Linked DNA regions of Elephas maximus indicus. The protein of the gene in region 1 interacts with the protein of each later gene in a biochemical or structural test. Links are inferred from orthologs where the notes say so. Each region holds a gene or a part of one and is shown on either strand. Other genes may lie near its edges.

Region 1 (6,853 bases):
CGCTATTCCTTTTCCAGTAACAAAACCTAGACAATGAAAAAGATATTTAATATAATCCATAACCTGGAACATAACAGTTTTACTCTTATATTATTCTGAAACTGAAGGGATCATATTCAGAAAGCTAAATTCTAAGGCGTTTAACAACGTATGATACAAGCATATGACTTCTTTCTTATATTATCTGGTAAGGCTATACAAGATGAGATCTTACCCAAATTAAATTCTCATATAAAATAAAAAACCCATGGCCCCCGGACACCCTTTCAGCTCAGTAAGGAGGTCACTCCTGAGGTTCACCCTTCAGCCAAAGACTGAACAGGCCCATGGAACAAAACAAGACTAAAGGGGTGCACCAGCCCTGGGGCAGGGACTGGAAAGTAGGAGGGAACAGGAAAGCTGGTAATAGGGAACCCAGAGTTGAGGAGGGAGAGGGTTGACATGTCGTGGGTTTGTTAATCAATGTCATACGACAATGTGTGTACTAACTGTTTGATGGGAAACTAGTTTGTTCTGTAAACCTTCATAAGTTCAATACATATACATATATATAAACCAAAAACCCAAACCCGTTGCCAGCAAGTAGATTCCGACTCATAGCGAACCTATAGGACAAAGTAGAATGGCCCCATAGGGTTTCCAGGAGCAGCTGCTGAGTTCGAACTGCTGACCTTTTGGTTAGCAGCCTGAGCTCTTAACCACTATGCCACAAGGGCTCCATATTCTCACATATGCCCATTCATTTCATATACAGACAGATAGTCACAAAACTGTATTCAACAAAGATGAATTGAGCATCTCATATAAATAAGAGGTAATGGCAAAGAATTAAAAAAAAAACATGGTAAATAACAATAGCAGCTAATATTTACTGGGCTAAACATTCTACAAGCATTTTCTCAGCTAATTAACCCCTCTGACATAGGAACTATGAGTCTCCAAGTCTTAAAAGTCAAGTTACAGAAACTCGGAGATGTTAAACAACTTGTCTCAGGTCACAAAGCTGCTAAGCAGTAGTTCTGGGATATGAATCAAAACAGTCTGAATTCAAAGCTTCCTAACACTCTTGACAACTTAAGCAATGTTGCCTAACCCAGAAGGAAGTTTATAATCACTGGGGCTTTAGATGCTCTTCTGTTACTAATAATAGTAAGAACTTACCATAACTTTTACAGATAAGGCACCTTTTCCTAGAGCAACTTATTACGAAATAGTTTGGAGAACATGAGTAAGTATGCTCTTAACAATTTAAGCAGCCTTTGTAATACATTTCTTTCCATATCAAGCTGAGAGCATTTGTAATCTATACTAAAATTTATGAGATGATGAGCAAAAAGGAAAAAAAAAAACGACTTTGATAAATCAACAATTAGGTAATTTAGGGTTTCTTCATACTCAGTACTTGGAAGTACCTGTGAAATATTCACTCTTTTGAAAACTGCAGTTTTAGGCTGATTGGCACTTAGATTCTTCAAAATATTCTGCTAAAAAGTCTATATTTTGTGCTTATTAGCATTCTGATTTTGTAACAACAGCAACAAAAAACAAACCCTTTGCCGTCGAGTCAATTCCAACTCATAGCAACCCTATAGGACAGAGTAGAATTAACCCCATAGGGTTTTCAAGAAGTGGCTCGTGGATTCGAACTGTCAATCTTTTGGTTAGCAGTCAAATGCTTAACCACTGTGCCACCAAGACCCCGATTTTGTAAAGTAGTAGGAAGTTAGATCTATAGATAAGACTATTTTATTGATGGACTAACAACAGATGCTGTAAACATCAATACAAACGGTGATTCCAAAGAGCAAAGTCCTTCTCTCCCATCCACAGGGAGGAGCTCTCCTTCAGTGGCCACTGGCCTCTCTTTAGTACCTGAGTTCCAGGCTTCACTGCACATGAAGAGAATAAAACATTAGAGAGATGTGAAAAGCCAATCTCCTTCCCCACTCACACATATATGCACGTATTTATAATAAATTTCACTTTTCTGATACCTAAGTATGCTGATTCACTGGAGAATTATGAGTCAAGTTATATCCCACGAGAGAGCTGTATCTAAGTATTCAATCAAACAGGTGTACTAAAAGAAACTAAGTGGATTCAGTATTCAAAGAACACTTCAGATTTGAAATGCTACATCTAATTATGCTTTGCCTGAAACTCTGGAACTCTATTTTTAAAAATCTCATTAGCGGAAGTTTGCAAGCTTTTATGGCTCATTCCATGCAAAGAAGATGAAAGTACCATTTATTAAATGTTAGTTGGATATATCTTCAGTATCTATTCTCGTGGCTCCAGATCTGATAATTTTGACTCCGTTTTTTAATTTATAGCTACAGAATTAGCTTTCTTTTTAAGAAAAATATTTCAAAGGGTTTGCTTTCATTCTTAGAAGAAAGAATAATGGAATGGTAGCAAATACTTGTTATGAGATCTAGTCAACATCATAACAATGGAAAATTTACTGAAGCACATACTGCCACCACCATCCCAAAGAAAAAAATCAAAATTCAGACAACAAATGTTTTCTGAGCAACTACTACATGCAGGTAGGCGCTTGTAGTATATGTGCCAAGAAGATTAAGTTTTCAAAGCATGAAAGGGTTTGGAAAACAACGGACCAAACTTAAATATTTGTTAACTAACAACTTCATAATTTATAGTTTCTAGAAAATCATACAGAACAATTGCACAATAGCATATTTAGGTCTTGAGAGTCTGACTTTCAGTTACAAGTGGACTATAGCTCTCTAGCCAAACAATCCTCCGGTTCATTCCTTCACCGCTTGTTTTCTAATTCATTCCACAAGATCCACGTTTTCTTTCATGACAACGTGCTAGCGCATCTTTAGAAAAAAAAAAAAAAACTATTCCTCTTTCCCCAAAACCCAGCCCATACACACGCCCTCCTCTCACACGGGCACGTATCCTTCCAAAGCTCGGCGGCCACCCCTCACCTGAAGAAAAGTTTGGAGATGACGCTGGCCCTTTCCAAAGGCGACTTCTGCATGGTCCTGCGGGGCGCCAGGGTCCCTGACGAGGATGACTGGGCTGTAGCTCTTAATGGCCAAACTCGCCCTACTCTTCGCAGTGCCGGGCGCTCGCCCCTTTTTCTTTGACCTGCTGTGATGTCATTTGCTTCCAACTCCCCCGACCCACCCCCACTCCACACACCTCCCCTTTCCTTTGCTCCTTCCCCCTCCTCCATTGCCCAAGTTGAAAGACAAGCGCTGCCTGGTCCGGCTCCAAATTTGTTCAAGCTGCTTTCTCCACCTCCTGCGCACCCTCCGCGCGCAACCCGACCGCTCCTTCCTTTTCGCCTCCTTCCCTCCCTCGCTGCCCTGCGCCTCCCTTTCCCGGTTCTACGTGCCGGCCTCCCTCCCTCATGCGCGCTCCTCGCAGGTCCTAGTCCCGACAGTCCAGCCTTACCCACAGGTGCGCAACAGTCACGGCCGCTCTCCAGGTCCAGTCTCCGGCACTCGAGGACAGAGCAGCCACCGGCAGGAGGGGAACCGGCCCCGCGGGAAGCCTCCTGGACCGTCCTACGCGCCAGGTTCCGCCCGACCCTGGACCCTCCGCCGCCAACTTCCCCGCTCCTTCCTCCTCCTTTCTCCCGAGATCCTAGCCACCACGCTCGTGTTAAGTTTGCAAGGTGCATTTTGAAAAGAGCGGAAATGTGTCTCTCGTGTATCAAAATGCAGCCTTGGAGAGCCGGAAAGTTCCGCGGCTGCGTCTGCTGTGATCGTGTTCACCTTAGCTCTTCCTTTGGGTGTCAGAGGGAAGAGCCAAGCTTTGTTAGTTTCAGGTTTAGGTGCGCTCCAAGTGTGGCATAGACACCTTATGGGGGGAAAAAAACTTACAAGGAGGTAAGAGGGGATATTGCTTTACCCATTGCCCACCCAGGATTTGTTCACTGCCTGTCCTAAGTTTTTCAGTCCGGCTTGAGGTTTTAAGGAAGAATTTTGTGAGCATTCGCGACGACAGTGACAAGTGAACAGCGCGTAAACTAGCCCGCCCTCCTATGGATTTCCTAGTCTCAGTCAGCAAAACATCTTGACTAAACCACTGAAAAGAATCCCGTCTTTGAAGCAAAGGTACCGAGTTAACTTTGACCGGACGCGTAGAAACGCCATCTTCAGCACTCCGAGGGCATCTAGGCTTTCCCGCGCGTGGGCACATCGGAGTTTTTGGTGTGTGGATTGTGTGCAGGTCTGATAGTTTTTAAGGAGCCAGGAATTTAATTCCTGAACTCTGTTGTGTAGAAGCATTTGCACATTGAGTTTGAATTGAAAAATTCAAATGAAAGCAAAAATTTCAGTCCGATTACGTTATTGGCTTCACATCAAAGGCAAGGGTGTTTACTTGTGTGTACCTTGTTGTTGACTCGTGGTCAACCAAATAAAGTACAAATAAAATGTGCATTTCATGAAGACAGGGCTATATGTTTGAATTAAGGAATGTATTCCACTGGTTTTTATGGTTCTGCTTTGCATTTCAATGCCACCTTTTTTTCTATCTTAATTTTTAAAACATTGACATTTTATTATTCTAAATTTAAATGCAAAGAAAATAAAAACCAAAGAGTTAAATCAAATTGCATAATGTTCTATAACAGCAAAAAACTTCAGCATTCCTAACTCATGATCCCTTGCTTCAATTCCTGTTTCTGTGACATAAAAGTCAAGGTTCTGTCTTTACTGTTGACTTTTCCCAGGTATGTCGATTGAACGCACTCCATGCACTTCCCCACCCCCACCCTGTTGTTTGCTTTCTAAGGGCTAGTGTGACCGATCAAATTAATACACACATTTTTAAATGAATTGGTAATCAGCTCCTCTTTGTTATCAAACAGTAAGTGACAAAAAACGGGATTAAGTTGCAAAGGACATCATAGAAGCTGACCAAGTCATTTGGCTCCAGGAGAACCCAAATATTTGTCAGTCTCTTTCCCCTGGAAAGAATAAACAAAATAATGACCAATTCTGGAGTTCTTACTATTTGCCAGGAATCATTGCACATAAATAGTACAACCTCCATGTTAGTTGGTGTTATTATCCCATTCTTCAGTTGAGGAAACAGACACGTGAGGTTAAGCAAAATGCCTAAAATAGTAAAGCTCAGATTCAAACCCAGGTCTAACTCTAAATCATCACTTGTACAGGTGTGTACCATTGCTTCTTATTAAACCATCCTTCATGTATTTATATACTGTCATTTACACACCAACTCAGTCTTTCTCCTCACATTAAATGGGAAAAAAAAAAAATACCAAACATGTTGCTGTCAAGTCAATTCCTACTCATGGCAACCCCATGTGTTACAGAGTAGAACTGCTCTGTAGGGTTTTCTTCATTGTCATCTTTATGGAAGCAGGTCACCAGGCCTTTCTTCTGGATGGATTTGAACCAACAACCTTTAGATTGGCAAACCATTTCTGCCACCCAGGGACTTTGTTTCATGAAATCAGAACAGCTAGTCCTGTTTAAGAATGAAACAGGAAACCAGAAAGCTAAGAACCAAGTAGTTACTGAAGATATATATATTTTAATAACTAATGTTTAATAGTAATATTACATTTTAAGTGTATGCATACATGCATGACTAGGAAGATCCAGGGATCTTATTGTAAAGGATTACAGCCAAATACCAGCTCACAGCATTTTCTAACAATATTATACTAGTTAACATTTGTTGAGCACTTAACATATACATATCAGGTTCTGTGCCAAATACACAGCAAGCTTTACTTTGTTTAATCCTTGTAACACCTTCACAGGACAGGTACTTCCTTCATTATCCGTGTACTGCAGACTAATAAACTGAGGTACAAAAATTTAGTAATTTACCCAAGCCATTTGCGCAATAAATAATTACAGAGGTAACTGGGATTTGAACCTAAACAATCTGTTACACCTTACATGTCAAAGCATTTAACCGCTACTGCACTGGGGTTTTTTTTGGGTTTGGGTCCCTACAGAGGAAGCCCTGGTGGTGTAGTGGTTAAAAGCTACAGCTGCTAAAAGCAGTTCAAATCCCCCAGGCACTCCTTGGAAACCCTATGGGGCAGTTCTACCCTGTGCTATAGGGTCACTATGAGTTGGAATCGAGTTGACGGCAATGGGTTTGGTTGGGGTTTGCCCCGACAGAATATCCTGATATTTTAAGGAGAAATGACCTTAAATATAGATTAGGTTGTCATTTGTGTGGCATAATTTTAAAAGTATATTAAAAAGAAGGAGGAGGGGGAGGAGGAGAAGAAATGAAAGAAGCCAATATTTATATTTATTGAGTACTTTATCAGTCAGAGAGCCCTGGTGGTGCAGTGGTCAAGAGCTACAGAGAGCTAGGGCTGCTAAACAAAATGTCGGCAGTTTGAATCCACTAGCTGCTCCTTGGAAACCCTGTGGTGCAGTTCTACTCTGTACTATAGGGTCACTATGAGTCGGAAGCGACATGACGGCAGTGGGTTTTTGGTTTACAGACTAGCCACATTGGCACATAAAACTAACCATCACAAATACCTACTATGTATTCAATAATGTACCAGGTACTTGCTACAAATTATCTCAACATATGTAAAGTTTATAGGAGATAACCTTTATAAGAGATAATTAGGTCACTCATTCTGCCAGGTGATGGCTGAAGTTTCACTATTGGAGAGCCTGACAGTGAGCGTTGACAATACTTATCTATCATGTTCAATTTAATTGGAGTGATATTCCTCCTTCAGAGTGGGCTTTAATAGTGATAAGTGGGTAGCCATCTTGAGTACACTAAAAAATAGAAAAGTGGAAGAAGGATGATTTTTCCACTGATCTCTTACATCATATTACCCTGATCAAATGCTTGCACC
Region 2 (7,120 bases), on another chromosome or scaffold:
ATTCACACCCACCTGCCCACCCAGACTCTGCGGCTGCCTCTTCTCAGTCCTACAGGCCACCACAAAGGGTGGGCAGCACCCACTCCTGGGGTGAAAGATGGGCCGGCTGGGGCAGGAGAAGGGCCAGTTGGGGGCAAGCCTTCCTTCCCCAAAGTAACCCATCCAAGCTTCCAGGCGGATGTGAGCAGCGAAAGGGAGATCCGTTCAGAGGACGGGGAGACCCTGGCCAGGGTAAGTGACTGTCTGTGGGGCGGGATGAGGGGTGGGGAAGCCAGAGGCAACTGGCCCTGAGAACAGGCTCTTCCTGGCAGGAGTATGGAGTTCCCTTCATGGAGACCAGCGCCAAAACAGGCATGAACGTGGAGCTAGCCTTTCTGGCCATTGCCAAGTGAGCCCTGAGCCAGGAAGGGAGCTTCACAGGCAGGGCGGCACCATCTGGGAACCCCATAGGGCCCAGCCCAGGATCCCCTCTGCATTCTGCATCTTCAGTCCATTTGGTCAGGGCTGTGGGAGTGGGGAGGATGCTTTGTTCCTCACTCCCAGCTCAGACCACTGCTTCTTCCAATTCAAGGGAGCTGAAATACAGGGCCAGGCAGCAGGCCGGTGAGCCCAGCTTCCAGATCCGAGACTATGTGGAGTCCCAGAAGAAACGATCCAGTTGCTGCTCCTTCGTGTGATGGCCAAGGGGCTGGGCGGAGGCTCCAGAGACCCAGATGATACAGCCATCTCCCCCACCCAGTCTATTCCCAAGTGGCTGAGCCAATGGGGGGAGAGCTGGGGACCTGGTGCACAGCCCCTTCCAAGAGGGAGCTGTCCTCCAGCTCCTACCCTAGTTACTGTAGCTTCCCTGCATCTGGAGGAGGGTAAACTATTTACATTTCATTTTAATACCAAAAAAGGGCACCAGGTTCCCCGGAAGATGGGCAGGGACCTGGTGGCCCTGTTATCTTTTAGTATTAGGACTTCCTGTGTGGCTGGGCCTGCCTTCTGGCCACAAGGAAAGCATTGCTCCAGCCAGCACCAGGGGGCACTGGTGCACTTCTGCCCGATTCCCTGGGGCCTGAGGGCTGGTAGTGTCCCTGTTATTACTTTAGCTGGAAAGAGGCTGAGCAGACCCCAGCCCTCATTTCTTCCAGCTCCCAGGGGAACAATCTTCCCCAATAAGATGGGACCTTGTGCTGGGAGCCTCAGGGAGGGGAAACAGGAGCAACAGAGACTAGGGCCTGTTTGGCTACCTTCAGACCTTACCAACTGCCCTTCTGGAGACATGGCCCTTTTCCTCCAGCATACAAGCACATGGGAACACCTGGGAACATTTGGTTCCTCTTCTCTGGACCTCAGATCCTGGGAAAGCCCCTCCTCCCTGAACCCCTGATCTTATCGACCTTTCTACCTGAGCCCCTAGACACCTAAGATCAGAGCTAGGGAAAAGGTTTTCTTTTTGTCCCAAGCCCTTGGCAGTAAGCAACCCCGCAGGCCGCTTTTCAAGCAGCTCTAGTGCTTCTCCTGGATTAAGATCTGCATAAAGAGAAACCCCCAGCTCCCGTAGTAGGTGGGAGGCATAGCCGAGAGACCCTCTCCCCACCTGTATCTCCCTAAACCCAAGCTCTGCCTCCTTCCTGACCCCTCAACCCCCAGGCCCTTTTCTTCTCAGACACCAGAGCCAAAACTGCCTCACCTCCCTCCTACTGAGTCAGGTAAACTAGTACAACATGTGCAAAATAAGGTCATGTGGCTACATCTGGGGTGGAGATGAGGGTCAGCAAGGAGTTTCTGTGGGGCCAAGGTCACACGTCTCCCAAAGCCCCAGCCCAGCAGCTGGAAGTGGACAGAAGAGGCACCTTTACCCCAGCTCCGCAGCCTGGGGAGGGTTGAGGAAGAGAAATGTCCTGCACGTTTAGGAGGCAACTGCATTTGCTTTAAAGGCAGAAATTTTGCTCTCTGAGCAGAGTCAGCGGCTCCCACTTGGGCCTGATAAGGAAGCTCTTGGTGGCCTCTCCCAGCCAGAGCAGGGAGGAGCCTGACCTTGCTAGGCTCTGGGGCTGCAGGCTGGTCACAGGCCATCCAATCACTCACGTGGGCTGCTTTGGGTCTCTAGCATTTGAGTTTTTCAGAATTAAATTGCAGTATTTTGGAAAGTTCACCCTGCCCACTGCTTCTTTGAGATGTACCTTGGACTGGGGGATCACATAGAAGGGACTGTTATTGCAAGCTGGAAGAACTGTCAAAACAAACAAACCCATTGACGTGGAGTCTATTCCAACTCATGGTGACCTCATGTGTTACAGAGTAGAACCCTGGTGGAGCAATGGTTAAGTGCTAAGCTGTTAACCAAAAGGTTAGTGGTTTGAACCCACCAGCCACTTGACAGGAGAAAAGACCTGGCGATCCGCTCCGGTAAAGATTGGAAACCAAACCTGTTGCCCTCAAGTCAATTCCAACTCGTAGTGACCCTATAGAACAGAGCAGAACTGCCCCATAGGGTTTCCAAGGAGCAGCTGGGGGACTAGAACTGGCGACCTTTAGGTTAGCAGCTATCATGGATTGAATTGTCACCCAAAAATATCTGAAAACTTGGCTAGGTCATAATTCCCAGTATTATATGATTATCTACCATTTTGTTATCTGATGTGATTTTACTGTGTGTTGTAAATTCTATCACTATGATATAATGAGTTATATGATGAGATCTACAAGATTAGATTGTGTCCTGAGCCAACCTCTTTTGAGACATAAAAGAGAGAAGCAAGCAGAGAGACATGGGAACCTTATACTACCAAGAAAGCAGCGCCGGGAGCAGACTGAGTCCTTTGACCTGAGGTTCCTACGCTTAGATGCTCCCAGACCAGGAGAAAACTGATGACAGGGACCTTCCTCCAGAGCCAACAGAGAGAAAAAGCCTTCCCCTGGAGCCGGCCCCCTGGATTCAGAATTCTACTACTGGACTGTGAGAGAATAAACTTCTCTTTGTTAAAGCCATCCATTTGTGGTATTTGTTATAGCAGCACTAGATAACTAAGACAGCAGCCAAGCTCTTAATCACTGTACCACCAGGGCCCCGTCCAGTAAAGATTACAGCCTAGGAAACTCTATGAGGCAGTTCTACTTTGTCCTGTAGGGTTGTTATGAGTCAGAATCAACTCTAAGGCACACAACAATCTTTACTGAAGCAGGTCTCTAGGCCTGTCTTCTGAGGTACCCCTGGGTGGGTTCAAACCACCAACCTTTAGGTTAGCCCAGAGCAAACCATTGGCGCCACACAGGGACCCTCACTGGGGGTCCAAAATCATTTGATTTCCCCTCACCCTTCGATTTCCCCAATTGGCCAGCTCACCCTTAACAGAGCCTTTGACCAGCCCTTATCTGGCAGGAGGAAGCTGGAAGAAGGCTTATGTCATAGTCCTAACAGTTCATCATTTCTCTGTTGAAAATAGCCAGGGCCTTCTCCTCCGTGGAGAGTACCCAGAGGTTGGTTACCTGAGTCTATTCTGCCTCTCCCCACCCCGCTTCCCTACCCAACCGCTGCGCCGTTGCCCGCAGTGGCCTGTCTTCAGTGGGTTGCACAGAGCCTCACGCCTTCCCCGCAGGGATCAGAGCCAGCACCCCTATAAGCATGTCCTGGAGCAAAGGAAAGTGACTCCACAGACAGGAAGACGTTATTCAGAGCTGGACGCCGGTCTTATAAGTTAGGCCGCTGGAACTTCGCTGCCCGGGAGCAGGAACTGTTTCCCCGGCAACAGCGGTTCACTCAAAACAGCCGCACACGGACTTCGAGCTATAGAGTCTTTCCCCCGAGAGCTGAGTCTCCTCAACTCCCGCCACAGGTGAGGGAAACCGAAACAGAGCCTGCGGGGCCCCTCCGCCCAGTACCCAAACTCGTCAGGTCCCCGCCCTGCTCCGCGACTCGGGCCACTTGGTAACAAACACTTCTACTTCCTGAGCCTCTTTCTTCGCCCGCCGCGGGGCGCTGCGCCTAGCGCAGGCCACGCCCCACACGCTCCGATTGGCCTGCGGAGTTCACCCGGCCCGAACACAGCCTCCGGTGGTCTCTGATTGGTCTGCGGCGGCCCACTCCCGCGGCGCGGCCCGGCCCCCAGGATAAGGGGCCTGGGCCGGTCCTCGAACGCGCAGACGCCGAGCAGGGAGGGATTGGTCTGTCAGCTTCCCCAGTTTTTGGCAGTGCGCGCCCGCCGCCGCCGTCGCCGCCGGAACACCTGTCAGCTCCACCCGTCTGGGTGCTGGGATTCCCGCCAGGCTCCCGGCTTCTCAGGGCGGGAGAAGGGCTGGCCGTGCAGTTTTCAGCCTCGACAGGACCCCGCGTGGCGTCGTTGAGCCGTTGCCGGGGCAACATGAGCTCGGCCGCGGCGACCGGGGCGCCCCTGCCCCGGCTCTGCTGCCTGGAGAAGGGCCCGAACGGTTATGGCTTCCATCTGCACGGGGAGAAGGGCAAGGCGGGCCAGTTCATCCGGCTGGTGGAGCCCGGCTCGCCCGCCGAGAAGTCGGGGCTGCTGGCCGGGGACCGGCTGGTGGAGGTGAACGGCGAGAACGTGGAGAAAGAGACCCACCAACAGGTGGTGAGCCGCATCCGCGCCGCGCTCAACGCCGTGCGCCTGCTGGTGGTCGACCCCGCCACGGACGAGCAGCTACAGAAGCTGGGCGTCCCGGTGCGCGAGGAGCTGCTGCGCGCCCAGGAGGGGTCCGGGCCGGCCGAGCCGCCGGCCGCCACCGCGGCGCAGCGGGATGGCGGCGAGAGCGAGCTGCGCGAGGCCGAGAAGAGCCACGCGGAGCAGGTAGGTGCGGGACCCGGCGGGCGGCGCGTCTGGGACGGGGAGCCGCTGGGGAGACCCGGACGCCCAGCCCCCGCCCTCCCTTGTCTTTCTGAAACTCGAGCGGAGAGGGGAGGACTGCTTCCGCCCGCCACCCCGGCGCTTGCAGTTCCTGAGCAGGCTTGGAGGCAGCCTCCCGCTATCCCCAGCCCTCTCCCCAGACTGGGCCGGGCCCCTGAGCGCCTTTGCTTTGTGCACCTCTTGTCCTTCGACTTTTGGGGGTGCAGTGGGGGAGGGAGCGCAGGCGAGTCTGCTCTCGTTCCAGTTAGTTGTGGGGGATCCCCGCCCTCCGCAGGACCCTCCCAGGGCCCTCTCCTCGGCCACCCCACCCCCAGCGCGCAGTTGGGCGGGGGAGAGTGTTCTATTGCCCCAGAAGGGCCAGCTTCCTCCACGGCCCCTGTGGGTGGGAACTGAAGCTGGGGTAACGGTGAGAGCGGCGACTTCCAAAAGCCAGAGAAGTAACAGTCCCCTTCAGTGCGGAGATGCAGCCCCGGGCCTGGGCGGGGGAGGGGTGGCTAAGAGGAGTCTCCTGCACCCCCTCCCCCCAGCCCGCTGGTGTGTGTATCATTAACCAAGCCCCGCTGAACTTCATCCTCCTCCTGAAGTCCGCTGTGACTTCTAAGAAGGAGGTGGGAAGCCCCACGTCCCAGGGCTGTGTGTGGGGGTGGGGTGCGAGGAGGAGGCGCGGAGGCGTCTCGGGGGTGGTGGCTCTGCCACCCAGGAGGATTTATGTTTCTCAGGAATGTGAGGAGTAAGCGCTAGCTTGTATCAGGGAGCGGGAAGGAGGACTTGAAGGGGGAGGAGAAAGATGGCTGGAGGGCTGGGGATGGCGGCCCGTGGCACAGGGCCAGGAAGTGGCTCGCTGAGCACCGTGGGCAGGTAGGCATGGCCTCCACGTCTCCGGACAGCGAGCTGGCCAGTGGCGCTTTGGTTCATCCCATTTGGATCAGCTGCAGGAGGGGCAGCTGGCAAAACAGAAGTTGTTGTTCTGAGCCTCCTGTCCCCAGAGAGTGAAGAGGGAGGCCCCTGGGTGCAGACTGTGGGGGCCAGGGCTGGGCTTCCCCAGAGCCTGTTTAGCTTTTCCTGGTGGCAGTAAGTGGCCGACATGTCCACAGTGCCAGTAGGAGCCTTCCGGACCGAGAAGGGACACACTTCAGCACAGAGGTGGAAGGTGGAGCCCTTGAGAGGGCCTACGGGTTTGGTGCAAGTGAAAGACCTGAGGTAACCGGGAGCCCTGTGCGGCCGGAGCTGGGTACTGGGAATGCGAGGGCCACCAGGCTACCACTTCCTGCCTGTTCCAAACTGGCATTGATAAGGGGCAGGGGGAGGGGCAGGAGCACCCCAGCAGGGGGTTGACACTGGGGAGTTGGAACTGATGACCTCTGATCCCAGACAGAATAATCCAACTTGAACTTCGTGCTGAGACATTGATTTGCCATTCCCTTTTTTTTTTTTTTTTTGGACTTGGGCACCCACACAAATGCCCATCCCCTAAGTTTCAGTCACGTTCGGCTCTCCCTTTGCCCTTTTTGTTTTGCTGCTGGGTGCGTGAAGGCTTGACGTAACACCCGCGCGCACAGCTATCTGAAAAGGCAGCGTGTGGGCTTCCTGCTCGCTGGGCTGTTCTCTGGGTGAGCACAGAATCGGATTCCCCCGATGGCCACGTGCCACTTGGGCAGCCTACAATTGTTTGTGCTTTGCTAGGTTGGAAGAAGGAAGCAGAACCACCTCCAGAGAGTCCTGGGGACACCACCACGAGGGCTCTTAGGGTTTCAGGTCAACGAGCAAATTACAGGACCTCTCTGGGCCTTGGTTTTCCCATCTGTAAAATGGGACTCCACGAAGCATTCCTTCTGTAGGATTTTACTCATTGCTGAATTGAGCTCCTTTATGCCCAGGCATTCCAATCACAGCTCTATGCCACCAACTCCTTCCACCTGGCCAGTCAGCACTGTTAAGTCCCTCAAGTAAACAATGCCCATCATCTGGTAGGGTGAGAGACAGGAACTCATCCTGTTGTTGCAGAAAATGTTAATAAACACTGTAAGCGTTGTTATTATTTTTCTTTTCCTAAAAGGCATCCCTTTCCTATATGCAGCATCTAATTGAGTTTTACTAATTAGTTTCAGCCTGAATTTGTTTGCATAATAGGGCTGTTACATTATCTTCATTAGTTCTCATAAGTGAAAAAGGTCTAAGTGGTAAAGTGCCTGCAGAGAGTGGTGGGCATGGGTGGCATCTCACTGGGAAGGCCATCCGGGGTCAAGAATACAAAGCAGAGGGTGAGGTGGGTG
Region 3 (6,955 bases), on another chromosome or scaffold:
AGAAGAATTAACTTCATTTAAAAGGTTTTGCTATTTTAGTTCTAGAAACAGAAAGAAACCGCCTTACCATAATGCAAAAAAAGCAAAACCATTGCTATCTAGTTGATTTTGACTCATTGGCAACCTCATGTGACAGAGTAGAACTGCTCCATAGGGGTTTTTTTGGGCAGTAATCTTTATGGAAGCAGTTTGCCAGGCCTCTCCTCTGTGGAGCCAGGGGCTGGGTTCAAACTGCAAACCGTTTAGGTTTTTGCAGATGGTTGCAAACCACTTGCACCACCCAAGCTTGTTTCTAGCCATAATAAAAACCCATCGTGCTGGAGTGAATTCTGACTCATAGGGATCCTACAGGACAGAGTAGAACTGCCCCCATAGGGTTTCTAAGGCACAGTGGTTAAGCACTCGCCTGCTAACCAAAAGGTCAGCAGTACAAGCCCACCAGCCGCTCCATGGGAGAAAGATGGGGTAGTCTGCTTCCATAAAGATTTACAGCCTTAGAAACCCTGTGGGACAGTTCTACTCTGTCCTATAGGGTACCATGAGTCAGAATTGACTTGATGGCAGGCAACAAGTTTGGTTTCTTGATTTGGAATCTTTACAGAAGCAGACTGCCCCATCTTTCTCCTGTGGAGTGGCTGGTGGCTTCCAACCACTGACCTTTCAGTTAGCGGCCAAGCGCTTCACCGCTGAGCCACATGATACAAATTATGAGGGATGTGCATTGCAGAGAAATTCTTCTGTATGTCTAAATACTACACTGGGCACTGGGAGACCTAGGTTCAGATTAGCTAAATATGTGGCCATGGACATATGTTTGTCTGTGAATTTTTTTTTCTCATGGGTTGTACCAGATGCAGTGGTTAAGCACTGAGCTGCTGCTAACCAAAAGGTCGGCAGGTCAAAGCTACTAGCTGCTCAGCAGGAGAAAGATGTGGCAGTCTGCTTCTGTAAAGACTATAGCCTTGGAGACCCTATGCGGCAGTTCTACTCTGTCCTATAGGGTCACTATGAGTCAGAATCGATTCAACAGCAACGGGTTCTTTTGAAAGTGACAGAAAATTCACCTCAAAATGGCTTAAATAATAAGGGAATTCATTGCCTTATATAACTGGAAAGTCTAGAGGGTTGGCTGGACAAGGAGATTGACATGTCATTAACGACACCATTTCTCTCCATTTCCACCCTGCTGCCCTCAGTTCCACCTTCATCTTAGGTCTGCCTCCCCTCATGGGTACAGATGGCTGTCAGCAGCAATCGAGGACTCATGGCGACCTCATAGCACAGAGTAGACCTGCCCCATAGGGTTTTCTAGGCTGTAATGTTCACGGAAGGAGCCCTGGTGGCGCTTGGTGAAAAAGATCACAGCTAACCTAAGAGTCAGAGGTTGGAAACCATCAGGCTCCTTGGGAGAAAGACGTGGCAGTCAGCTTCCATAGAGATTTAAAGCCTTAGAAATCCTATGGGGTCGCTATGAGTCGGAACGGACTCTGTGGCAGTAGCTTTGGTTGGGGTTAATCTTTACGAGAGCAGATCAGGAGGAAATCACCAGGTCTTTAATCCCGCGGAGCTGCTGGTGGGTTCCAAGCGCCCACCTTTCAGTGCTAACCAAGTGCTTAACCTTTGTGTTACCAGGGCTCCATGAGCAGAAAGCATATCTACCTCTGCAGTCACTTTTTGTTTTCGTTTACATCCACATTCTTTTCTGTTTTATCTTACGATTGTCCATTTCTCCCTCTGAGCATAGGTCTCTGTGGAAGATAACAAACACTAAAATGAACTCGATGAGGCTTGGCATAGCTCAGGCCTGGGCTGGAGAAGGGAAGTGAAGCTAATAATGTGACGCGTTAGGGTCTCTGTGCACTTCAGGGCGGAATGGAACGGCTCCTTATTCCTTAGGTGGTGGGCAGACAAGTCAACTTGGTGTGAGTGATTTAGAACTGTCGGACCCTCATTGGAGGCAAGGCTTCTCAGGCACTGCAGCCTTTTTCCCTAGACAATGCGCAAGCTCTTTGGGAAAGGAGAAAAGCCTTCTTGTACAGTTATATTTTTCCTGCGATCTGCATTAAAAAAAAAAAAAAAAGGTTTAGTACCTAGATCCTTAACGCTGGCGAATCCCCCAGCGTCTTGAGGGAGTGGCCAAGGGTTGGAACAAAACACTTCTGAAGAGAAAAAAGGCTGAGGGTCTGCATAGTACCCCACCCCTTTGGGAAATACCATCGTTTTATTTTTATTACCGCACTGAGAATCTTACCAGATGATTTTTGGAACCTGACTTAAGAACTAATTGAGAGCTTCTGCTGTGCGGAGGAACAAAAGACTTTTTTTTATTAGTCTGTAACTGAGGCATGTACCTGTCTGATGGCTTTTGCTCATTCCGCACATGCTCAGTTGAATAGAAATCTTCATATTGAACGGAATCTAGCACAACGGCAACACCCAGAACCTCACTCCCTGGCTGACCGTGTGCATCCACTCCCGCTAGTTACATTTTTATCCTGAATTGTCTAACATTTGCAGGGATTATAGGGAGCAGTGTAGGCGCTGGGAGTTTGGGGGGAAGATATGCAAAGGGGCTTAAAGTCCTTGACCTCTATTTAGGCTGTCTCTAGTGTGGTAGGCGCTGAACAGATTTTGTTGAGTTTGGGGCAGAACGCGGGAGAGCTGATTCTACAAATTACTCTTTGTTGTTGCACACATTCCTGGACAGTTTTTGTTCGGTCCACTTCTTGTAGGTGGAAGACCCCCCTCCCCCAGCCCTCATCTTCATTAAGGAATGACAGGGTGGCACTAAAACCATCCGCCGCCTAGCACAGTTTTGAGTGACAACCTCTCCACCTCTCTTCTTCCCTTCCCATTCATTAGGAATCTTTCCGTGCCTACTTGCCCAGCGAAATCTGGGAAAGGCTTCCTGCAGTTACAAAAGAAGGAGGAGGGTGGCTGGGGTTCCGCACCTCTCGCCGCAGACAGCCGAGTACATGCGTGCGATCGGGGGCCTTTTGTCTCCGGCCCATCCCGCGGGAGGGCGGGAGGTGACGACCCCGATCAGGCCCCAACTCGGCAGCTGCCGCCCGCTCGCCCCTAGGGCCATCCCCCACCCTCTCTAGATTCCCGGCGCCCGATCGTTCGCCGTGACGTGTCCCGGCGGCGCGCGCATGCGCCGGCCAACCTGGGTCCCTTCCCTCGGTCGCCACCTCCCCTCGGGCTGGAGTGGGCGGGGCCTGTGCTTCTGGAAGCCGCTCGGCCGAAGTGGGAGGGGGACGTGTGTGCGCGAAGCGGGTGCGCGGGGCTCGCCGGCCGATCTGCGGCTGAGGCTGAGGAGGAGGAGGAGGAGGAGGAGGAGGAGCAGAAGGCGGTGACCACGACTCCCGCCCGCACAGAGCGCCAGTCCCGCGAAGCCCCCTCCCACTCCCGGGCGGGCGGCGGCGGCGGCGGGAGGAGGAGAAGGAGGAGGGAGCGTCTTTGCCACCGCCTTCTGGTCCCCAGCGCGGATCCGCTGCCACCTCCTTCCGCGGCGATCCTCCCTCCATGGTCCTGCCGCGGCCCCCCTTGTAGTCCGAGCTGCCCCACGCCGCACCGCAGCCGGCCCCGGGCAGAGGGAACGGCCGCGGCCTCGCGGCCCGCACGGGCTGACTAACAGGGAGCGCGGCGCCGCGCGGTCCCCGAGGATCCGCACACCGGGCAGCGCGGCCCGAGCAGCGCGAGGAGCAGCGGGCGGGCGGGCGGCGCCGGGCCCGGGCCGCCCTCGCTCAGCGCCCCGGCCCCGCCGCCCGCGCCGGGGCGGTCGCCCGCGGAGCAAGAGCTGCAGTCTGCGGGCCTCGCAGCCGAAGCGGCCGGATTCGAGCGTCCTCAGCACCGAGGGCTCGCGGGTCCTGAGGGGAGGAGGCGAGTCCGGGGCCGGGCACTGAGCTCTTTGGCGCCCCCACCCCCGTTTTCGGAGTCCTCCACGCTGCGGCCACTGTCCCCTCCGGACCATGGCCGACGACGACGTGCTGTTCGAGGATGTGTACGAGCTGTGCGAGGTGATCGGCAAGTGAGTCTCTACGCGAGGGAGCGGGAGTGTGGAAAAATGCATTTCAGTGATGCCCGGGTCCTTCCGCACCCTCTCGGGGCCTGCCCCCTACCCTCCCTCCCCTGCACCTCCCGCGTTCTCCTCACCCTCAAGTATTTATAGACGTGGACCTGGACCTCCTGCCCGGCGGGGCTCTGGGGTTCTCAGCGATCTGTTGAGGCAGACGAGCCGATGTCGGCCACCCCATGAGGCGTGGGGCCGGCTGAAATCTGCTGCCTGCATTTTTTTCTGACGGCTGCACAGGGACGTGGCAGAACCGATTTTATAGTTGCTTTTTGGGAACAGTTGAGGTTTTTGTTACCTTGAATGTGGCTCAGACCATTAGCGAAAAGAGCAGTTTGCATTTCTTTTGCTTGCGTGGAAAGAGAAAGAGCGTCCAGGATTTTAAATTGTGGGGTGTGTGCCTATTGTGCAGGATATTAGATGCCTTTGTGTTCACCCCATGCCCGGATTGGAGGGGGTCCTTTCGGACGGGGTGCGTTCAGTTTCAACAGATTCCTCACCTTGTTGTACACAGACATGGAGAGAGTTGGGGGCATTCAAATTTTTAACGCCTCGTTATGCAATGACTGTAAAATCAGTCTTCGAGGCTCCCCTCGACTGTTGTTGGGATGGTGGTTGGCGTGGTAGAGCTGTCTGCTTTGAGTCACCGGGCTGGACTAGAATATAGAACTGACAGTCCAAATGCTCATCCTTTTATCTGTGTTGTATAATTACACTAGGGAAAGGCAGGGAATCAGATTAATCACAGTGCTGATTGAGAATTAAATCTGCAGTTCCTCATCTAATTGTCCATTCCTTAAATCTGTTTTGAATAGTTTCCTTTTCATTCTTGTCAAACAATATTCCAAGTGCACAATCCTGCTAATTTGCCTGTGAGGGAAATGCTGGCAATTTGAAGTTGATTTCCTAGTTCAGTGTGTATTCTGTGGCTTTAGAAGTTGCGGAGATGAGATTTAAGAGTAATTTCCGCTTATTTAATAGGGGTTGCAAGATAGCTACCACTGAAATATTTTATCTATTTATTTACTGGAGGGGGTGCTTTATTGTCTATTTTAAGGTCTGCAGTTGGGAATTGAAGCCAAGACCTTAGAGCAATTGACTCCTTGTCTTTTAAGTTGCCTGCAGTACTCAATTTCAATTTAAGCGCTGAAAACTCGTTTTTTATCTTCCATATTGAGGCATTACAGTGTTGCCTCAGATGGTGAAATTGTGAACAGAGCTTGCTACACACTTTACTCAGACCGGATTGATATGAGAACATGTTACTCCTTGCCCCTATTGTTACATGATCAGCCCGTCTGCTAGAAGGGTATCCAAATGTGTCTTGGTAAAGTGGTGGTGGAAGTGCTCTGAAGCAGCTCTGCTCAAAAGATAGATAATGTGAGCCACACTTGTCATTTTAAATTTTCTAGTGGCCACATTTTAAAAAAGCAACAACAAACAGGGGAAATTAATTTTTGCAATTAGTCCAAAATATTATTGTTTCAACATATAACCGACATAAAAATTATGATATGTTTTGCATCCTTTATTTCATACTGAGTCTTTGAGATCCAATGTATATTGTACATCAACAGCACACCTCATTTGTGATGCTAAGCTAAATTTTCATCAGAAATATTCGATCAGAATATGTAGGTTTCTTAAAATTTATATTTGAAAAAGCCGATTTATATACCCAAGTTGTTCCAAACACACCTAAAAGTTTTCTGGTAACTGAATTGAGTATCTGTTTCTAAATTTAAATTAATTAAAAGTAAGTAGAATTCAAAATTCATTTCCTCAGCCAGGCTAGCTGCATGTCAAATGCTTAAAAACCACATGTGAGTATCACAGTTCTACAGAGACAAATATATACAAAATCTCATTGGTTTTTTGTTTTTTCATTTTTAGGAGTGCCCAGTGAAGGTAAATTAGGTGTTTCCCAAAAGCCCCAAAATGACTCTGTGTGTAGGTGAATGATGTTTGTTGTGTCTTAGTTATAGCTGATGTAAATGAGCCAGCAAAGTCATAATTGGAAAATGTGAGATTGAAATTTTATATTGTGTTGACTGGAAATAACCGTCTTTTAATCAGTTTTGAAAACTAGTTCTGATTAGTTAAGGTTTTGAAGAGTAATGATGAGATATCTTTTCATCTCTAAAAGAGGCGGTCAGCTTTACATTAACACAGTCAGTATTCTGCTGACTTGTAATTGAATATTTTTAGGAAACACTCCTGAAAGAGCTAAAGCCATCTCTTCTGTTGCAGAGCTGCATGCGGAGGGAAGGCACGCAAAGGTTGAGGTGATAGGTACTCTGTGGTTACCTTAAATGCTGTTGAACTGTGAGATCTCCGTCATATTGTACACGATCTGACTTGGTCAGTGCCATTTATAATATGCCATTCCATGAATTAATGAATTCAAGGTAGCCCTAGTGGTAAAGAATGTAATGATAGTGTTCGTCAGCCTGTGTAAAGGTTGAAGGTTTCTCCGGTAAATTGTCTCAGCATATATATTGATCTGGGAACTGAAATTCATTTGAGATTTTCTTTCAGGAACCCTTGACAGCATATTATTTTATCTTGGAATTTGTTCAACTCTGGATTTAAGCAGAAAGACTTGAAGATGGTCACTTGTACCGAAAACCCTTTTGTTAATGTCTATCTAAATTCTATGGAATTTTCTTTTTCTTTTATACCAAATTAATATCACGAGTTGTTTTTGACTATTATGGTCTTAATAGGTTTAGATTTTCCTTAAAGTACTTTAAAATAGATTTTACTTCTCAAGACCAATTGACCACCCACTCACTCACCTGCTTACTCACCCACCCACCTACGTACTATGCATTAGACCTTACTTGGTAGCAGTAAATGAAAGCTCTAGTCTAATTTAGGCCC
Region 4 (7,292 bases), on another chromosome or scaffold:
AGCTGGTGGGTCCCTGGCCTCAACCAAGGGCACTGAGAGGGTGTCCTGGGGAGAGGCAAGAGCCTCTGTGGTCTCCAAAAAGAGGAGTGGGGACAGGCGGACCTGGAAGGAGGCAGACAGAACAAACCTGCTTTTCTCCCTCTACCTGCACCCTGCTCCACTCCCACCCCCACCCAGCCCTTGCCCCTCAGCTCGCACCATACTGAAGAAGCGGTCAGCCTCAGGGTCAACAACAACGAGAGAGACGCAGGAGCCCTGTGCCCGGATCCTGGACACTATTTCCTCATGGCCCAGCCCCTCCACGCTCTCCCCAGCCACAGCCACCAGCCGGTCCCCAGCTTGCATCCCCGCCTTCTCAGCTGGGAATCCTGGGTCCACCTCCCGCAGGAACTGCCCTGGGACAGAGACATCCATTGTCACTGCTCCTCCCCTATCATCCCCATGTGCACACCAGGGGACTGGCTCAGGGCGTACACAGGAGGAGGCCCAGGGCTAGGCTCAGAGAGGGATCTCTTATGTACACTGAGACCGGGACACTTGTGTGCCTAGCCCAAGGCCTACCTTCCTTACCCACCCCCAGGGCTCCCACTCACCGAGGCGACCACCGAGGCCCTTCTCCTCACGAAGAAGGAACCCAAAGCCCTGGGGCCCTTTCTCTAGGTGTAGACAACGGGGTCTGGTTGGCAGTGCCCAGCCCTCTGCCAGGGGTGCAGCCAGGGGCATTCCAAGCTGGCGACACTGTTCCTCCACCGCTGGCCCTGCCACCAGCAAGGTCACCTGCTTTCCACTTTGCTGAAGCTGTGGGGACCCAGCAGAGCATCAGCACCAACCACCTGGGTAGGGAGGGAAGAGGCCGGCCCCTCCTCACAGCCCCTCCTCCCAGGCACAGGACTGAGGCACCAAGGGGAGGCAGTAAGGACCGTGCCACCAAACTGTCAAGGGAAGGATGGAGATGAAGGCACAAGATCAGAGCAGACATGAGGTACAGGGGCAGGGGTGGGGGGGGGGTCTGCTGGCCCTAGGACCAGATGGGTGGAGGGTGAGTGGGGAAAAAGGCAGCCATACCTTCTTGCTGAGTTGTTTATGAGTGAACTTCTCCACATTGACCCCATTCACTTCTAGCAGTCGGGCCCCAGGGGGCACCCCTGCCTGCTCAGCTGCTCCCCCAGTGCTCAGCACCAACCAGAAAGGACCCTGCTCTCCTGGAAGAAGAAAAAAAGCAAGCTTCAGTCTCCTGCCTGCTCAGAGCAGGGGCTGAGAGCTCCCCTCTCCTGACCTCCCCACCAAACGTCTAAGCTCACCATGGGTGATGCTGAAGCCAAAGCCACCCTTGTCTTTCACTATGTGGCACAGCCGGGGCCTGACCCCAGGGCCTAGGGTAGGACAGACTTGAGCATCGTTGCCGTGCTGAGCTCTGGCCACATCATGCACGTGCCGCGCCAAAACCATCAGCAGCACCCGGGGACCGCTAGCCCGGATACGGCGCACCACCTGAACACAGGGCAAGTGGAAGGGGTTGGGGCTGACCCTTCATGCCAGCTCCCCTCCCTGGCACCTGCATTTTTCACCAGAAGAACCAGCTCTCTGAATGCCTTCACCACACCCTTCCCTTTCAACCTGGGCACCCCTGAATCCTGGGGGTGAGGCTGGGCCCTTCCCCACAGTGCCCCAGGAGGTAGCAGATTCTCTGTCCCTGGGGTCCTGTGGAAGACTGTACCACAGAGAGTTCCAGCCCAACCTCACCTCTGCGTAGCCTTCATGTTCCACGACATGGCTGTTCACCCCCAGGATCCGGTCTCCTTCTTGAAGACCCTGACGCTGTGCAGAGCTGCCTGGCTCCACCCTGCACACCACATGCCCTGCTCCTCCCAGCTCCTGCTGCAGGTGGAAGCCAAAACTCCTGCCCTCCTCTTTGCTCAGCAGACAGAAGTGAGGCCGCTGCAGGCTCCAGGGATCTGGTGGAGAAGTCACGCAGCAGAAAAGGGAGGAGAGAAGGTGTGGCCCAAGGACAGGTCACTGTGTGCCAGGCAGACCCTGCCCCCTTTATAGGGCACCAGGCAGGCTTCCACCCTGTAAGGTGCTGGGTGTGGGCAATGTGGCTGGGACAGAAGGAAACTGCCTAGTCCCCTCCTACCTCCATATAATAACTCTTGGCCAAGGCTGCTATCAGAGGGAGACAGAAGTAAGTGGTTACCACGGGGATGGGAAGCTGGGTGGCACTATGGTGCCTCCCGGAGGAAAGGAAATAGCTGCCAGGGGGTGAGGGGGTTACCAGAGAAGTCGTGGTCTTCAGCCAGGGAGAGGACAGGATTATCAATCCCCAGCTTTGGGTTAAACTCAAACTTCCTGCAAGGAGGCAAGAGGCAGGGCAGAGAAAGCTTAACATCTGGACTTGGCTCCCAGTTTCAACTTGAAGTGCTAATGGCAGCTGGGAACTTCCTCACCTTCTATCCCCTCCTCCCCTTGCCCCAACCCTTCGTGACACTTACAGAATTAATGAGTTTGTGTCCTGAAGATCGGGGGGCGAGACGTGGTGAGCAGAGGACAGGCACATTCTTCCCTCCAGACTCCTCTCCCCATGGTCAGAAACTGAAAGGACTTAGGGGAACCCCCGAACTCAGGACTTGCCCCTCAGCTCTGCTGCAAAGGGGTCTTCCCTTCCCACTGATGTCATATACCAAAGATATTTCGCATTCCCATCCCTCCTCCCCCAAGTCCTCGGCACAGAAATCTAAGCATATCAGTGCAGGGCGTGGACCAGGAAAACAAATCACCTCACCTCTCCTCCCCTAACTCCAGTCTATTTGCCTCAGGGCTCCCAGCCCCAACATCCAGTGGTGCCCTGGTCCCAGAGCCTCAGCCTCCATGTCTGCCCCAGCTGCCCCAAAGTCACCCCCACCCAAAAATCTTTCTCTCAGCCTCCTCCTCCTACCTGCGGCTGCCTCCATAGCTGGATCAGCGATCCAGGGCTCAGGGTAGGGACAAGGTCCATCGCAACCAGCTGACCCTCCCTCCTACCCCAGGTCCCGCCTCCTTGAAGATGCTGCCATGGAAGCAAAGGGGTAATGGTTAACATGGATAAAAGTCTTATCCTCTGGGGAAGTGGGCGTGTTCCTCCTGCCCCCATTCCTGAGTCCCAACTTCTTCTGGGGCCCCATGCTGCTGTCCAGCACCCGCTATGTACAGAGAAAGGCAGATGGTTGGTCACTGCAATTCCAAGCCCGGGGCGGGGGGGGGGAATATGAAAAAGGGGATAAAATTCTACAGCCCAGCATGACCTACCCCCCTCCCAATATCTTGTTCATGGGCTTCTCCCAGCCCCCACAACCTCTGAGCCTGGTGTAAAACAAAGTGGTCAGTAGTCTCACTAGAATTATCAAGAAGAGCAGCACCCAAGGAAGAGGAGGCATGGAAGACACACAGCTTTTTAATGGTAGCAAGTCAGGGCACCTGCCCCAGGGGCCACCGAGCCATAGGTACCATTTTGGTAAAGGGGGTACAAGGGTGAGGAGAAAGCACCAATGTGAGAAGAGAGTGACTGCAGGCATTCCTGGTGTCCACAGATGGGTTATGAAGGTAGGAGGTGGAGGCTGGGTCTGGATGGATGGAAGTTTAGACCCTCCAATGCATCTTCCGGATGGCAGCGCCCGTGGCATGATGGACATAAGACGTATGCCACCTTGGTGGCATAACCAAAGGGTCCTTGGGAGAGGCAAGGTTGGGGATGGTACTACAGGGCAATGTGGCCATGAAAATGTCACATCCTTCACCCCTTTTAGTAGAAGGGAGAGGAGGCATGTTCCTTCTACAAGCCCAGAACACCGACTCCCCACCTTTGACCCTGGAGATTGCAGGCTTGGGGGCACTGGTTGGACATGTCCTAGGACCGCAGCTGGCACAGCTGTGCCCATTCTTTTGCTTCCAGCCCTTGGAGAGGTCTTTCTAGAAGAAGTCGTACAAGCTAGGAGGCCGCAAAGGAAACGGTTTTGGGGGCCAGTGGTTACACAGCTAGGTGCCTGCAGCCACTTTCTCAGCTTCCAGAGGCCCCCAGCTGCTCCAGAAGGGCTTTGACCTCGCCCTCCACACGCAGCATCTGGGCCTTGCGCCAGGGATTAAGGGTGGCACCCCGGCTATCTTCCAGATCCCGCAGCAGTAGCTCAAGGTGGCGCCGGACCCGAGCCCGATCCCAGCTGTTGAGGTTCCGCTGGACTTCACTGAGGATCACTGACCAGTACTCGGACACTGCTGTCCCCTCTGTCAGCGATGCCACGACTCGGGCACCACCTTCAGCTGTGCCCCTCAAGTCTCGCAGAACCTGGCGGCCTTCTGAGCTCAGTTCATTGAAGTAGAGGCTGGTATGAGAGAGAAGATAGAAGCCAGTCAGCGGGGCTCTGAGAAGGAGGGGACAGAGGGTAGATGGCAAGAAAATCAGGTGGTCTCACTGGTTGTGGAGTGCAATGGGGCAAGTGTCTGCAATAAGCCAGAGATAGAGAGGGTGGCCAAAGGGAGGCAGGGACTGACATGAGAACCCCACAAGACCAGGGACGGTAGGAATGGGGCCACCAGGACCACAGGAGAAATGTGCTAGGGAATCAGGACAGGGTAAGGTCCAGTCACTGAGCAGCTAGGGTTGGCTCAGAACCAGGATGACAAGGATCAGTCAGAAGCCAGAAAGAGAGGATAGGCATCAGGCCTAGGACCAGAGCGCCCCCTAGGGGAGGAAAAGCACAGTGGCAAGAGGGAAGTAGGACTGAGGAGTGGGAGGCCAGGCTGAGGGTGGGGATGAGTCAGAACCAGGGGGAGGACTCACTGCAGCAGCTCCAGGGAAGGGTGCTCCCGGGCAGCCTTGGCCAGAGCCAGGGCTGCTGTGTCGCCAGCGCCATTGTAGGCCACGTTAAGCTCCTGCAGCTGCTGGTTGCGGTCCAGCTGAGAAGCCAGCAGCTCCAGGCCCTCGTCCCCAAGATTGGTGTGCAGCAGGGACAGGTGTGTCAGCGAGGTGTTTCCCGCCAGCCCCTCCATCAGCAGTGCTGCACCTGCCACCGTCAGTGGGTTGTTGGACAGCCTATGGCCACAATCAACCACAATCAACAAAGGTTATGAGGACCCACTGCAGGTCCCTCCTCTGCATTTTAGGACTTGCACCAAAGGGGTGTACAGCCTGGGGCCGAGATGAGCCTAGACCCCAAAAAATGCAGCCCCCAGGAGAAGAGGAGGCAGAAACAGGGGTGTGGTACATGGTGGAGGAGGGAGACTGGGGTAAAAGCTGACTTCTCCTTCCTCTTCTCCTCCTTCACCTTGTTATCCTTTTCTCCCTGATTCCCTTCTTCCCTCTCCCCTTCCTCCTCTTCTTTACTCTTTCCCTTCTTCCTTTTTCACCCCCCTACTCCGCCCCTGCTTCTCCCTTCCCTCTAGCTCTCACATCCTTCTCTCCTTCCCTCCTTTCTCACTCCTCCTTCACATCCCCCTGCTCTAACCAGAAATCGGGAACCCGGGAGTCTTAATATTTGGGAGTCTTAGTTCCTGGTAAATCAATCAACACTTTGGGAGCGTCCACTGAGTGCCCAGCGTTAGGGTTATCCTTGTGAGGCTGCAGGGAACATCCTAGCACTGTTACCATGCAGCCTGCCTGGATATTATTCCACCCCCTCGTTCACGGCCCCCTCCCCCTACACAGGCTAATTTTAGCCATGTGAGAGGCTTTCTAAGCACCATTTACTGGTGGCATCTCCCCCCTGCCCTGCTGCTTGTACTGGACCTGGGGGTAGGTCAGAGCCTGAGTCCTACAGCCTTTACCACACTGTGGGTGGGGCTGTGCCAAGTACATACGAGGCAGGGATTTCACCCTTGACCTTAGATGCCCCTTCCCGAGGCACTCACCGCAGAGTGGTAATTTGGCACTGGTCATGCAGCAGTAGGTCTCGGAGGTTTCTGCAGGCCTCGGGGCCCAGGCTGTTGAGTTGCAAGCTGGAAAAGGAGAAAGTGGCCAGAGGGAGGGGAAGAACAAGGAAAAGAGACCAAGGCAGGAATTCAGCATGGTACCTGCTTTCTCACCACACTGCCTCTAGCAGTCCACACCTGCTCTCCCTTCTGCCGTTGGTTCCATCACCTCCACCCACACCAAACTTCCTCATCCCACCTGCTGGGGCTCCCTTAGGACCTCTGGTCCGCCTACCCTCTTCTTTCCCATCTCTTTGTCTCCACCCCTCTCTTCTCCTCATGCCTGTGCCCAGGGGCAGAATGGTCCTCACCCCAGCTTCCGGGCACGCAGCAAGACAGGCATGAGTGTGCACAGCCCAGCAGCCTCCAGCTGGCAGGAAGCCAAGTTCACCTCATCCAGGGCATGCTTCCCACTGCCTAGTACAGCTGCCACCACGGTGCACTTGAGGGGCGTCATGCGCACACCAGCCAAGTTGAGCTGGCGCAGAGAGCTGAGCACCTCGGCAGAGAAGCGCTGATTCTGGAACTCATAGTGGAAGAAGAGGTAGTCAAGAAGTTCGGATGGGGGCAGCACCTGGCGGCCCCGTGTGCCCAGCTTCTTCTTGATGGCCCGGGCATTCTCCAGGACATCGAGGTTTTTGATGGGGCAGCCAAGCTGAGCCAGCACAGCCCGGTTGTGGGCAGAGAGAAGCCCTCCCACGAACATGGGGAAAAGCTCAAAGACTTCATCCTCTGGGGGCTCATCTGGGTGGCGCCGGGGGCCCTCCACACCCAAGATGCTGGCACCCATCTGGTCCAGAACGTCGTCGTTGTAGTAGTCCTCCTCCCGGAACATTTCCAGAACCATGGCCTGGGCCACCGCCTCCTGGCTCTTACCCACCACGCTCCCAAACATTCGTGGAACCACCTGGGAAAGGAAGCAAGGGAGAAACACTGGAGCCTCCTGCATCCCTTCAGGAGCACAGCCCAGGCCTGTTCAGTCTCCGAGGCAGGCTCAGCTTAAGTTCCTCCCCTGACTGCTCCAGCCTAGTGATTTCCTCTCAAACTTGCAGCACGTTGTATCTGATCACACCACTCCCCTGTGACAACACCTCCCATGGCTCCCCAGTGCCCGTGTGGCAAACTCTAAACTCCCTGGCCTGGAATATAAAACTTTTCATAATCTGGCCCTAGTTGGATCTTTCCCAGGTCACCTCTCAACACTTGTCTCATGCACTCCAGACACTGGAACTTCTTTTTCTCTAACACCCCATACAATTTCAGCCCAGGGGAAGGATTTAGCATATACTAAAAATTTAGTTTGGTACTGGGCTAGGTGTTATAAATATGTCACCATCATTGCCACTGACATCACA

The links.
Region 2: the proteins of CFTR (region 1) and NHERF1 form a complex in vitro, tested with the Homo sapiens proteins (9 studies listed by BioGRID and IntAct, with this or other methods). The link is inferred for Elephas maximus indicus from reciprocal best matches to the Homo sapiens genes CFTR and NHERF1.
Region 3: the proteins of CFTR (region 1) and CASK interact in a test that uses a peptide from one of them, tested with the Homo sapiens proteins (2 studies listed by IntAct, with this or other methods). The link is inferred for Elephas maximus indicus from reciprocal best matches to the Homo sapiens genes CFTR and CASK.
Region 4: the proteins of CFTR (region 1) and NHERF4 form a complex in vitro, tested with the Homo sapiens proteins (2 studies listed by BioGRID and IntAct, with this or other methods). The link is inferred for Elephas maximus indicus from reciprocal best matches to the Homo sapiens genes CFTR and NHERF4.

What each region holds. Positions count from the first base shown.
Region 1 is NC_064826.1:32,185,256-32,192,108, forward strand, and holds the start of CFTR (cystic fibrosis transmembrane conductance regulator), read right to left. Parts: upstream 3,023-6,853; 5' UTR 3,011-3,022; coding exon 2,958-3,010; intron 1-2,957. UniProt on the Homo sapiens protein: Epithelial ion channel that plays an important role in the regulation of epithelial ion and water transport and fluid homeostasis. Mediates the transport of chloride ions across the cell membrane.
Region 2 is NC_064837.1:65,146,242-65,153,361, forward strand, and holds the start of NHERF1 (Na(+)/H(+) exchange regulatory cofactor NHE-RF1), read left to right. Parts: upstream 1-4,117; 5' UTR 4,118-4,349; coding exon 4,350-4,790; intron 4,791-7,120. Other genes in the region: RAB37 (ras-related protein Rab-37), read left to right, coding at 48-231, 312-388, 572-607. UniProt on the Homo sapiens protein: Scaffold protein that connects plasma membrane proteins with members of the ezrin/moesin/radixin family and thereby helps to link them to the actin cytoskeleton and to regulate their surface expression. Necessary for recycling of internalized ADRB2.
Region 3 is NC_064846.1:132,417,561-132,424,515, forward strand, and holds the start of CASK (peripheral plasma membrane protein CASK), read left to right. Parts: upstream 1-3,946; 5' UTR 3,947-3,971; coding exon 3,972-4,030; intron 4,031-6,955. UniProt on the Homo sapiens protein: Multidomain scaffolding Mg(2+)-independent protein kinase that catalyzes the phosphotransfer from ATP to proteins such as NRXN1, and plays a role in synaptic transmembrane protein anchoring and ion channel trafficking.
Region 4 is NC_064835.1:11,644,951-11,652,242, reverse strand, and holds the start of NHERF4 (Na(+)/H(+) exchange regulatory cofactor NHE-RF4), read right to left. Parts: upstream 3,002-7,292; 5' UTR 2,949-3,001; coding exon 2,933-2,948; intron 2,599-2,932; coding exon 2,490-2,598; intron 2,347-2,489; coding exon 2,273-2,346; intron 1,956-2,272; coding exon 1,744-1,955; intron 1,492-1,743; coding exon 1,302-1,491; intron 1,203-1,301; coding exon 1,066-1,202; intron 799-1,065; coding exon 594-798; intron 396-593; coding exon 199-395; intron 103-198; coding exon 1-102. Other genes in the region: NLRX1 (NLR family member X1), read right to left, coding at 4,031-4,352, 4,811-5,062, 5,878-5,964, 6,249-6,844.